Sus scrofa: one gene and its partner. Each later gene encodes a partner of the first gene's protein in a complex. Links are inferred from orthologs where the notes say so. Each region holds a gene or a part of one and is shown on either strand. Other genes may lie near its edges. The genes, in order: ERCC2 and POLR2G.

Evidence for each region.
Region 2: ERCC2 (region 1) and POLR2G share a complex: the UniProt entries of both Homo sapiens proteins name them as parts of the TBP-based Pol II pre-initiation complex. The link is inferred for Sus scrofa from reciprocal best matches to the Homo sapiens genes ERCC2 and POLR2G.

What each region holds. Positions count from the first base shown.
Region 1 is NC_010448.4:51,743,868-51,747,670, forward strand, and holds part of ERCC2 (TFIIH basal transcription factor complex helicase XPD subunit), read right to left. Parts: intron 2,671-3,803; coding exon 2,554-2,670; intron 2,467-2,553; coding exon 2,350-2,466; intron 2,024-2,349; coding exon 1,900-2,023; intron 1,804-1,899; coding exon 1,707-1,803; intron 1,589-1,706; coding exon 1,455-1,588; intron 1,361-1,454; coding exon 1,192-1,360; intron 1-1,191. UniProt on the Homo sapiens protein: ATP-dependent 5'-3' DNA helicase. Component of the general transcription and DNA repair factor IIH (TFIIH) core complex, not absolutely essential for minimal transcription in vitro.
Region 2 is NC_010444.4:9,005,734-9,010,277, reverse strand, and holds the start of POLR2G (DNA-directed RNA polymerase II subunit RPB7), read left to right. Parts: upstream 1-1,646; 5' UTR 1,647-1,786; coding exon 1,787-1,798; intron 1,799-1,909; coding exon 1,910-2,019; intron 2,020-3,379; coding exon 3,380-3,539; intron 3,540-4,197; coding exon 4,198-4,248; intron 4,249-4,544. UniProt on the Homo sapiens protein: Core component of RNA polymerase II (Pol II), a DNA-dependent RNA polymerase which synthesizes mRNA precursors and many functional non-coding RNAs using the four ribonucleoside triphosphates as substrates.

The DNA of each region.
Region 1 (3,803 bases):
CCAGCAACAGCCCGTACACAACACAGGGCCACTCAAGGCTCTCACCCTTCAGGGAGAGGCTGTGGAGCAGCAGCACGGCTTTGGTGTCAGGCAGACAGTCAGGTTTAAAACCCGCTTCCTGAACCTCCTTTCCTTTCCTCCACGGTCGACCAGGTGCCCCTCTATGTTCCCTGGGCCCCCAGGCCTCCCCCCATCCCAGCCCTGGCACGTCCCTCTCTCACTGGACTGTGAACCCCAGGAAGGCAGGGCCAGGGCTGTCTCAGTCCCCACCGTGTCCCAGCAGATCAGGCACTCAGGACCATGCAGGCGGCGAAGCTCCCCGCAGCCCTCACAAGTCTCCCACGGCAGGGTGAAAGGTGAGGCCCCATCGAGGGCTCCCCGCCCAACCTCAGGCAGAGCAGCCAGGAACTCCGGAGCCCCACAGGCCTGGCTTCGAGTCACAGCTACCCCCACAGTGCTGTGTGGCCCTGGGCACTGGCTTCCCCTCCCTGGGACACAGTGTCCCCATCCACAGCGCGAGGCGAGGACGCTATTGAGATCCCACGGATACGGAATGTAGCTTAGCTCATTGTCAGCACTCAAGATGCTAAGTTCCTGGCGTGGCTGCTTTCTCACCTAACCAACCACCTCAGGAACCTGGGAGTAAGGGGCTGACTCCCTGCCTGGGGCACAAAGGAGGAGACCAAGGTTCAGGGAAGACCACTGACTCAGGCAGAACAGCAAAGGAAAAGCCCAGGAAGCCCCACCCCCACTCCCGGGTCCATGCACCACCTCCCTGACCACTGAGGGGAGGCTCCTGCCCCCGGGGCTTGGGGGACAGTGGGAGGCGACAGGGGTCTGGGGGGCAGGATCCACAGCATTTTCTGCCAGCTCCCACCCTGCTGGGCCCATCAGAAGCCGCTCTCCAGGGCTACTCCCTCCCCTCCCCGTGTGGCCTGGGGTGGGATGAGTTTCCGCAAAGGTGCAGGGGCCTGGTCACCCCACCAGCTCCTCCATCCTGCACGGCCCCCGGGACCCCCGTGAACAGTCCACCAAACTCTCCTCTGCCTCTCATCTGCTGCCCGCCAAGCCCCTGCTGGCCCCAGAGCCCCCGACCTGCCCCCTCCGCCCCACGGGTGTGACACGCACTCCCCCAGGCTTCCATTAGTCCCCATACCGGCCCCGGGCCCACCCCCACCCTGCTGGACGAACCTGAGGGGCTTGCGCTGGATGCAGACGCGCTGGGCCAGGCCGCTGAGGAAGGCGGGCGGGCTCTCCTGCACCACGTGCTGCACCCGCAGCCGCCACTTGACGTACTCCAGCAGCCGCCGCAGGAAGCCCAGGAAGTGCTCGGCCGTGCGGATGGAGCCCGGCACCGCCTCTGCGGGGACACGGGCTCAGCCGGGTCGGTGGCGGGGAGGGGGGGTGCCAGGGGCCCAGCGGGGCGGGCGCGGGCACAGAGGCGGGGGGCTCACCCTGCAGCACCTCGTCGGGCAGCACGGGGTTGGCCAGGTGGGCGTCGGTCTCCCGGGCGGCGCTGGCCTCCCGCAGCCCCTCCACCAGGCGCCGGTACTCGTCCCGCAGACGCTGCTCGTCAGTCTCCTTGATCCTGCGGGGAGCCGGGGGATGGGAAGGGCTGGGGACACGCCGGGGACGGGGACCGGGGTCCTGGGGTGGGGGGCAGGGCAGGCAGAGAACCGGGCCTGGGAAAGGCCGGCGCCCCGCACCTGAGCACCGTCTTCTGCAGGGTCTCCAGGTTGCCCTGGCACCGATCCAGCATCCGGCGCGTGAGGTTGACACTCATGGAGTCGATGCAGACGTTGTCTGGAAGAGGAAGGAGGGGACGCCGGGCTCAGGCAGGCAGCTGGGGCGGCAGCCCAAGGGGCTGGCATGGCCTCCCAGCCCTGGCTCCCTCCTCACCAATGTTGTGGGCCTCGTCGAAGACGACGACAGCCTTGCGGGCCAGCTCCTTGGACACCAGGTCGGCGATCTTGGGGTCCAGCAGGTAGTGGTAGCTGTAAACCACCACGTTGGCGTGGAGGATCTGGGGGCCGGGAGTGCAGGGTTACCCCGGCCACCAGCGCCCACCTCGTGCTACTGCCCCCCGCCCACAGCACACGGCCCCAGTGCTGCCTGACAGGCCCGCAGAGACGAGGTGCAGAAAGGGGCTCAGGCAGACAGACAGACAGACACAGATGGGCAGGCAGAAGCGAACTGAGGAAAGACAGACACAGGCAAGGCACACACACTCAGAGAGACTGACTGACAAAGGGACAGACCGACAGGGGGACACAGGCAGAGGGACAGGTGGGTGGGAAGGCGTAACCCGCACGCACGCCCCCCCTGCGCAAGCCCTGCCAGCCTCCTCACCGAGTACCGGGCAAGGAAGTACGGGCACCAGCCCTGGCGCCGCCCCAGCGCCTTCAGGTCGTCCAGGTTGTAGATGCCAGCCGGCAGGGGCACCTGGCGCCCATGGACATCAAACTCCTAGGGTGACAGGGCACACAGGAGTCAGGGAGGTTGGCCGTGGTGAGTGGTCCCCGCCTCCCTCCCTCAGCGCTGCCCCGCAGGCACCTCATAGAAGCGGCAGTGAGGCAGGCTGGGGTCCTGCTGGTACTGCGCCCGCACGTAGGAGGCCGTGAGGCTGTGGCATTTTCCATCGACGTCCTTCCCAAAGCGCAGGGGTGTCACCTGAGGGGCCAAGAGGGCATCTTAGCACTGGGACAGGCCAAGGAGCCCAACCACTCCTGGAACCTGGGGCTCAACACCTAATGGCTAAGGCGGGATGGGGCCATCTGGCTGTCCTGTCCCGGGTGACACTGGGGCATCCGTGGAAACTGGAACCTCAACCTGCTTCCCTAGTAAACAGTTAAGACACCTGGAAACTTACTACAGGGAAGCAAGAGTTGGTACAATTGTTAGGCTCTTAAATTATTCTTTTTAAAACAGTAAGTCCAGAATTCCCATTGTGGGTGTTAAGAACCCGACTAGTATCCATGAGGATGTGGGTTCAATCCCTGGCCTCGCTCAGTGGGTTAAGAATCCAGTGTTGCAGTATAGATTGCAGATTCAGCTCGGATCTGGCATTGCTGTGGCTGTGGCACAGGGTAGCGGCTGCAGCTCCAATTCAACCCCTAGCCAGGAATGTATGCCACAGGTGTGGTCCTAAAAAGCAAACAAAAACAGTATGTCTTAGGGAGCTCCCTCGTGGTCTAGTGGTTAGGGTTTGGTGCTTTCACTGCAGCCTGGGTTCAATACCTGGTCTGGGAACTAAGATCCCTCATCAAGCTGCTCCACACAATGATCAAAAAAAAAAAAAAAAAAAAAAAAGTTAAGTCACATATGGTGTCAATTATATCTGAATTTTTTTTTCTTAATTACACCTTGAAGATTCTTTAGCAGGTAAATTACAGATAACTGCTTTATCTTTTTTCTTTTTAGGGCTGTACCCAAGGCACATGGAAGCTCCAAGGCTGGGGTCAAAGTGGAACTGTAGCTGCTGGTCTACACCACAGCCACAGCAACACAGGATCCGAGCTGTACCTTCGAACTACACCACAGCTGATGGCAATGCTGGATCCTTAACCCACTGAGCGGGGCCAGGGATCGAACCCACATCCTCATGGATACTAGTCGGGATTATTACTGTTGCACCACTATGGGAATTTCTGCTTTATCTTTTAAAATGCTAAAACAGCCAGAACCTTAGCAAGGTCCAAGAATCAGAGGAAGCTGCTCTCCCCTGCAAGGCTCTGCTGGTAGCACCGTCACAGCCCAGGGCTGCCTTTCCTCAGAACCAAATCTTTTTCCTCACCAAAGGGAAG
Region 2 (4,544 bases), on another chromosome or scaffold:
TGCTGCTGGCCTACGCCACAGCCACAGCAACACCAGATCGGAGCTGTGTCTTTGACCTACACCACCACTCAAGGCAATACCAGATCCTTAACCCACTGAGCAAGGCCAGGGATCGAACCCGCAAGCTCATGGTCCTTAGTCGGATTTGTTAACCGCTGAGCCACGACGGGAACTCCTATTTATTATTTTTAATTCTATTATTATGAACTTTTTTTTTTTTTTTGTCTTTTGTTGTTGTTGTTGTTGTTGTTGCTATTTCTTGGGCCGCTCCTGCGGCATATGGAGGTTCCCAGGCTAGGGGTTGAATCGGAGCTGTAGCCACAGGCCTACGCCAGAGCCACAGCAATGCGGGATCCGAGATCCGAGCCGCGTCTGCAACCTACACCACAGCTCACGGCAACGCCGGATCGTTAACCCACTGAGCAAGGGCAGGGACCGAACCCGCAACCTCATGGTTCCTAGTCGGATTCGTTAACCACTGCGCCACGACGGGAACTCCTGAACTTTTTTTTTTTTTAAGGGCTGCACCTGCAGCATATGGATGTCCCCAGGCCAGGGTCCAACTGAAGCTGTAGCTGTCGGCCTACACCACAGCCACAGCAACAACAGATCTGAGCGGCGTCTACAAGCTACACCACAGCTCACAGTAACGCCGGATCCTTACCCACTGATTGAGGACAGGGATCTAACCAGAGTCCTCATGGATACCAGTCAGATTTGTTACCACTGAGCCACGATGGAAACTCTCTATTATGATCAATTTTAAACATACAAAAGTAGAAGGAAACATATAAAAAGCCACAGTTTATCCATCATCTGGCTTCAACAATCATTAATACATCGCCTGGAGTTCCCCTCCTGGCTCAGCAGAAACGCATCTAAGCATCCATGAGGACTCAGGTTTGATCCCTGGTCTCGCTCAATGTGTTAAGAATCCGCATTGCCCTGAGCTGTGGTGTAGCTAGCAGAGGGGGCTCGGATGTGGGATTGCTGTGGCTGTGGCACACGCAGTTCCATGGCTACAGCTCTGATTCGACCTCTGGCCTGGAAACCTTCATATGCCACGGGTGCAGGCCTAAAAAGACCAAAAAAAAAAAAAAAAAAAAAAAAAAGTCATTGCCAAACTTGTTTCATCTGCACCGCTGCCTTTTTTTTTTTTTCAAATATTCATTTAATTTTAAGACAATTACATTTTAATAATGGCTGTGTTTAAGAATTAGCTTGCAAAATTCCTGAAATAGTAACAGTTGGCTTTTGCAGGGGCTCCAGCACACCACTGTCAGCAGGTAAGTTTGCTCTTGCAGGGAGGCTGGCTTCAAAAAGAGGGAAGGAGAGGGGTCAGGGCTGCTGTGGTCCTGGCCTCCGTTCTCTCCAGATAAGAACAGATAGTTATTATGCTTACTCTGTGAAAGCAGTCTTCAACTGTTTGCTGAATGAATATATTCTGCTAAAGCGCTTTATTTATGACGTCTCTCATTAATTAAATCCACCGTTTGAACTTCTTGTCTAGACCTGGCCTTGCTAATTTGTGAGCGTCCTGTGCTTTTACAGAGGGTGGACTGGACGAAGGGGGAGGAGCTTCGTGGATTTCCCCGCCCACGAAAACGGGGCCCAATCAAGTCCGCAGACGAGACGTGTTCCCGCCCACCTCTCTGGGGCAGGCCCGGAAGCGGGATTGGGGAGGTTGGTGTACTTCCGGTCCTGCCGGGGGTTTTGCTGCTGCTGCTGTCGCTGTTTTAAGCCTGGCTGCTCTCGGCCTGGCTGCTGTCCAGCCTCCTCCGGGAAGATGTTCTACCATGTGAGCAGGGCCCGGGGTGGCGGCAAGGGTAGGGTCGAGAGGAGGAGCGAAGCGGAAGGCCGGGAGTAGGGGGCCGCTTCTTGCCTGGTCTCCATCCCACGTTCTCCGCAGATCTCCCTGGAGCACGAGATCCTGCTGCATCCGCGCTACTTCGGCCCCAACCTTCTTAACACCGTGAAACAAAAGCTCTTCACTGAAGTGGAGGGGACCTGCACCGGCAAGTGAGTGTCCCGCTCTCCGTGCTGCCTGAGCAGTGCGCCCTCGGCGCCCGGTGCCTTCATCCCCTCCTCAAGTCCTGAAAGTTTGTGCTGTCTACCCTGGAGAGCCCTCTCACCCACCCAGACGGCCCAGGCAGTCATTTGCTTCCTGCTTCGGGTTCCCATGATGCCCTCTGCGAAGCTGGATAACGGGACTAACTTCCCTCAGCCAAGATTGGTCATTCATTTACTTTACAAACATTTCCAAATCTCCAGCTGTGTGCCAGGCTCTGTGTTGGGCCCTGGGAATAATGCAGTGAGAAAGACAGAAGCGGCCAGCTCGAGCTCATAGTCTCTTTGGATTTTGCTGGTTTTCTTTATCCCCCACGCCCAGGGACCTGTCATGGCACATTGGGCTTCACTAAAAGTGTGTTGAATGAGGGAGTGACCAGGATAAAGCAGATTGAGAGTTAGGGGGAGGAAGGAAGAGCACTGACGTTTGACCGTCTCTTTGCTCTGCACAGAGGGACCTCTCATCTGGTGATGTAGACAAACCAGGATGAGCAGGGCCATGGAGTACTTGGGGCTCCAGCATCAGAGCAACTGGGGGTGTCTTTTGAACATACAGGTTCCTGAGCCTCATGTCATCCTTACAGCATCCCCATATCTCTGGGGACAGGCCTGGGGATATGCATTTCATATATATATATGTATGTTTTTTTTTTTTTTTTTTCTTCTTTTGCTGCACCCTTGGCATGTGGAAGTACCTGGGCTCAGTAGGTTAAGTATCTGGCATTGTCATTGTTGTGGCGTGGGTTCTATGCTTGGCCTGGGAATTTCTGAATGCCACAGGCCAAATAAATTTTAAAAAGAGATTGAGGTCTCTTGGCTCAAGGACTGCAGCCCTTTTGGACACTTATTGTGAACTTATGAGATCAGCATTTGGCTTTGTAGATGCTGGTCATTGCCCTGTCTTCTCTCTTGATCATTAAGTTCTCTGGGACCAGGAGTGCCATCTACTTGCCCTTTGTGATGCCCTTTAACCCCCAGGCTCGGTGACTCTTGTGGCAGATTTTTTTTTGTCTTTTTTTGGGGGGCTGCACCTGTGTCATAGGAGGTTCGCAGGCTGGGGAGGAATCGGCACTGTAGCGGCTGGCCTATGTCACAGCCACAGCAGCGCCGGATTTGAGCCACATCTGCAACCTACACCACAGCTCACAGCAATGCCGGCGTCCTGAACCCACTGAGTGAGGCCAGGGATTGAACCTGTGTCCTCATGGATACCAGTTAGATTCGTTTCTGCTGAGCCACAACCAGAACTCCTCTTGTGGCAGATGGTTTTAGAGGCTCTTCCACACCTTTCTCTTTCTCATCCTCCCTGCAGGTATGGCTTTGTAATTGCTGTCACCACCATTGACAATATCGGTGCTGGTGTGATCCAGCCAGGCCGAGGCTTTGTCCTTTATCCAGTTAAGTACAAGGCCATCGTTTTCCGGCCCTTTAAAGGGGAGGTCGTGGATGCTGTTGTCACTCAAGTCAACAAGGTAAGTCCATCCACAGGGCAGGTAATGGGAAGTCCTGAGAAAATCTGGGATGGGCCCCAACTCTTACTTGCTAACTCTGTGTCTTTGGCCAAATCACCTCTTTGTGCTTCAGGTGTCCTTACCTGCCAGATGGCATGGGAATCTTGTCCTGCCTCACTCAGGCAGGTGTAAAATGTAAGTCAACATTAAGAGTCAAAAGAGCAGTAGCTTCCATTGATTGAATAGATCCTGTGCACCAGGTGAAGTGCAAAGCCTCACAATGACTGTGAGGCGAGTGCTTTTACCTCCGGACTGAAGCTTGGAGAAGACTGCTGGCCAAGGTCATGTGGCCGACAAGTGTTCAGATTCCAGACAGACAGGTTCGAGGCCTCAGGTGTTGACTACTACACTCTGTTAACATAAAGTGAAAGTTTGAAAAAGGAGAGATGGGGGAAAAAATATAATTGTAATGTATACATGTAAGGATAACCTGACCCCCTTGCTGTACAGTGGGAAAATAAAAAAAAAAAAAAGAAAAAGGAGAGAAAAATGAAAACAAATGCCAAATTTCAGAGTGGTTTCAAAACATGAAGACTATTATTAGGATGCAGATAAAGACGGGATGCTCAGCAGACAATGGGGACAAAAGAAAAAACTAGGTCATTCATTTCCCTTTTAGGTCGGACTCTTCACAGAAATTGGGCCCATGTCCTGCTTCATCTCTCGACATGTAAGTCCAGGCGGGCTAGGTGGGGCTAAGGAGGAGACATTCATTCCTGACCGTCTCTTTCTTTTTTGGGCTGCACCTGGAGCACGTGGAAGTTTCCAGGTCAAGGATTGAATTGGAGCCACAGCTGTGGCAATGCTGGACCCTTAATCCATTGTGCTGGGCTGGGGATTGAACCTGCATCCCAGCAGAGACTTGAGCTGCTGCAGAGATAATCCTGGATCCTTAACCCACTGCACCACAGTGGGAACTCCCCGTGACCATCTCTTGAAGCGTCCTTTTAATGTGCTGACCCAGGA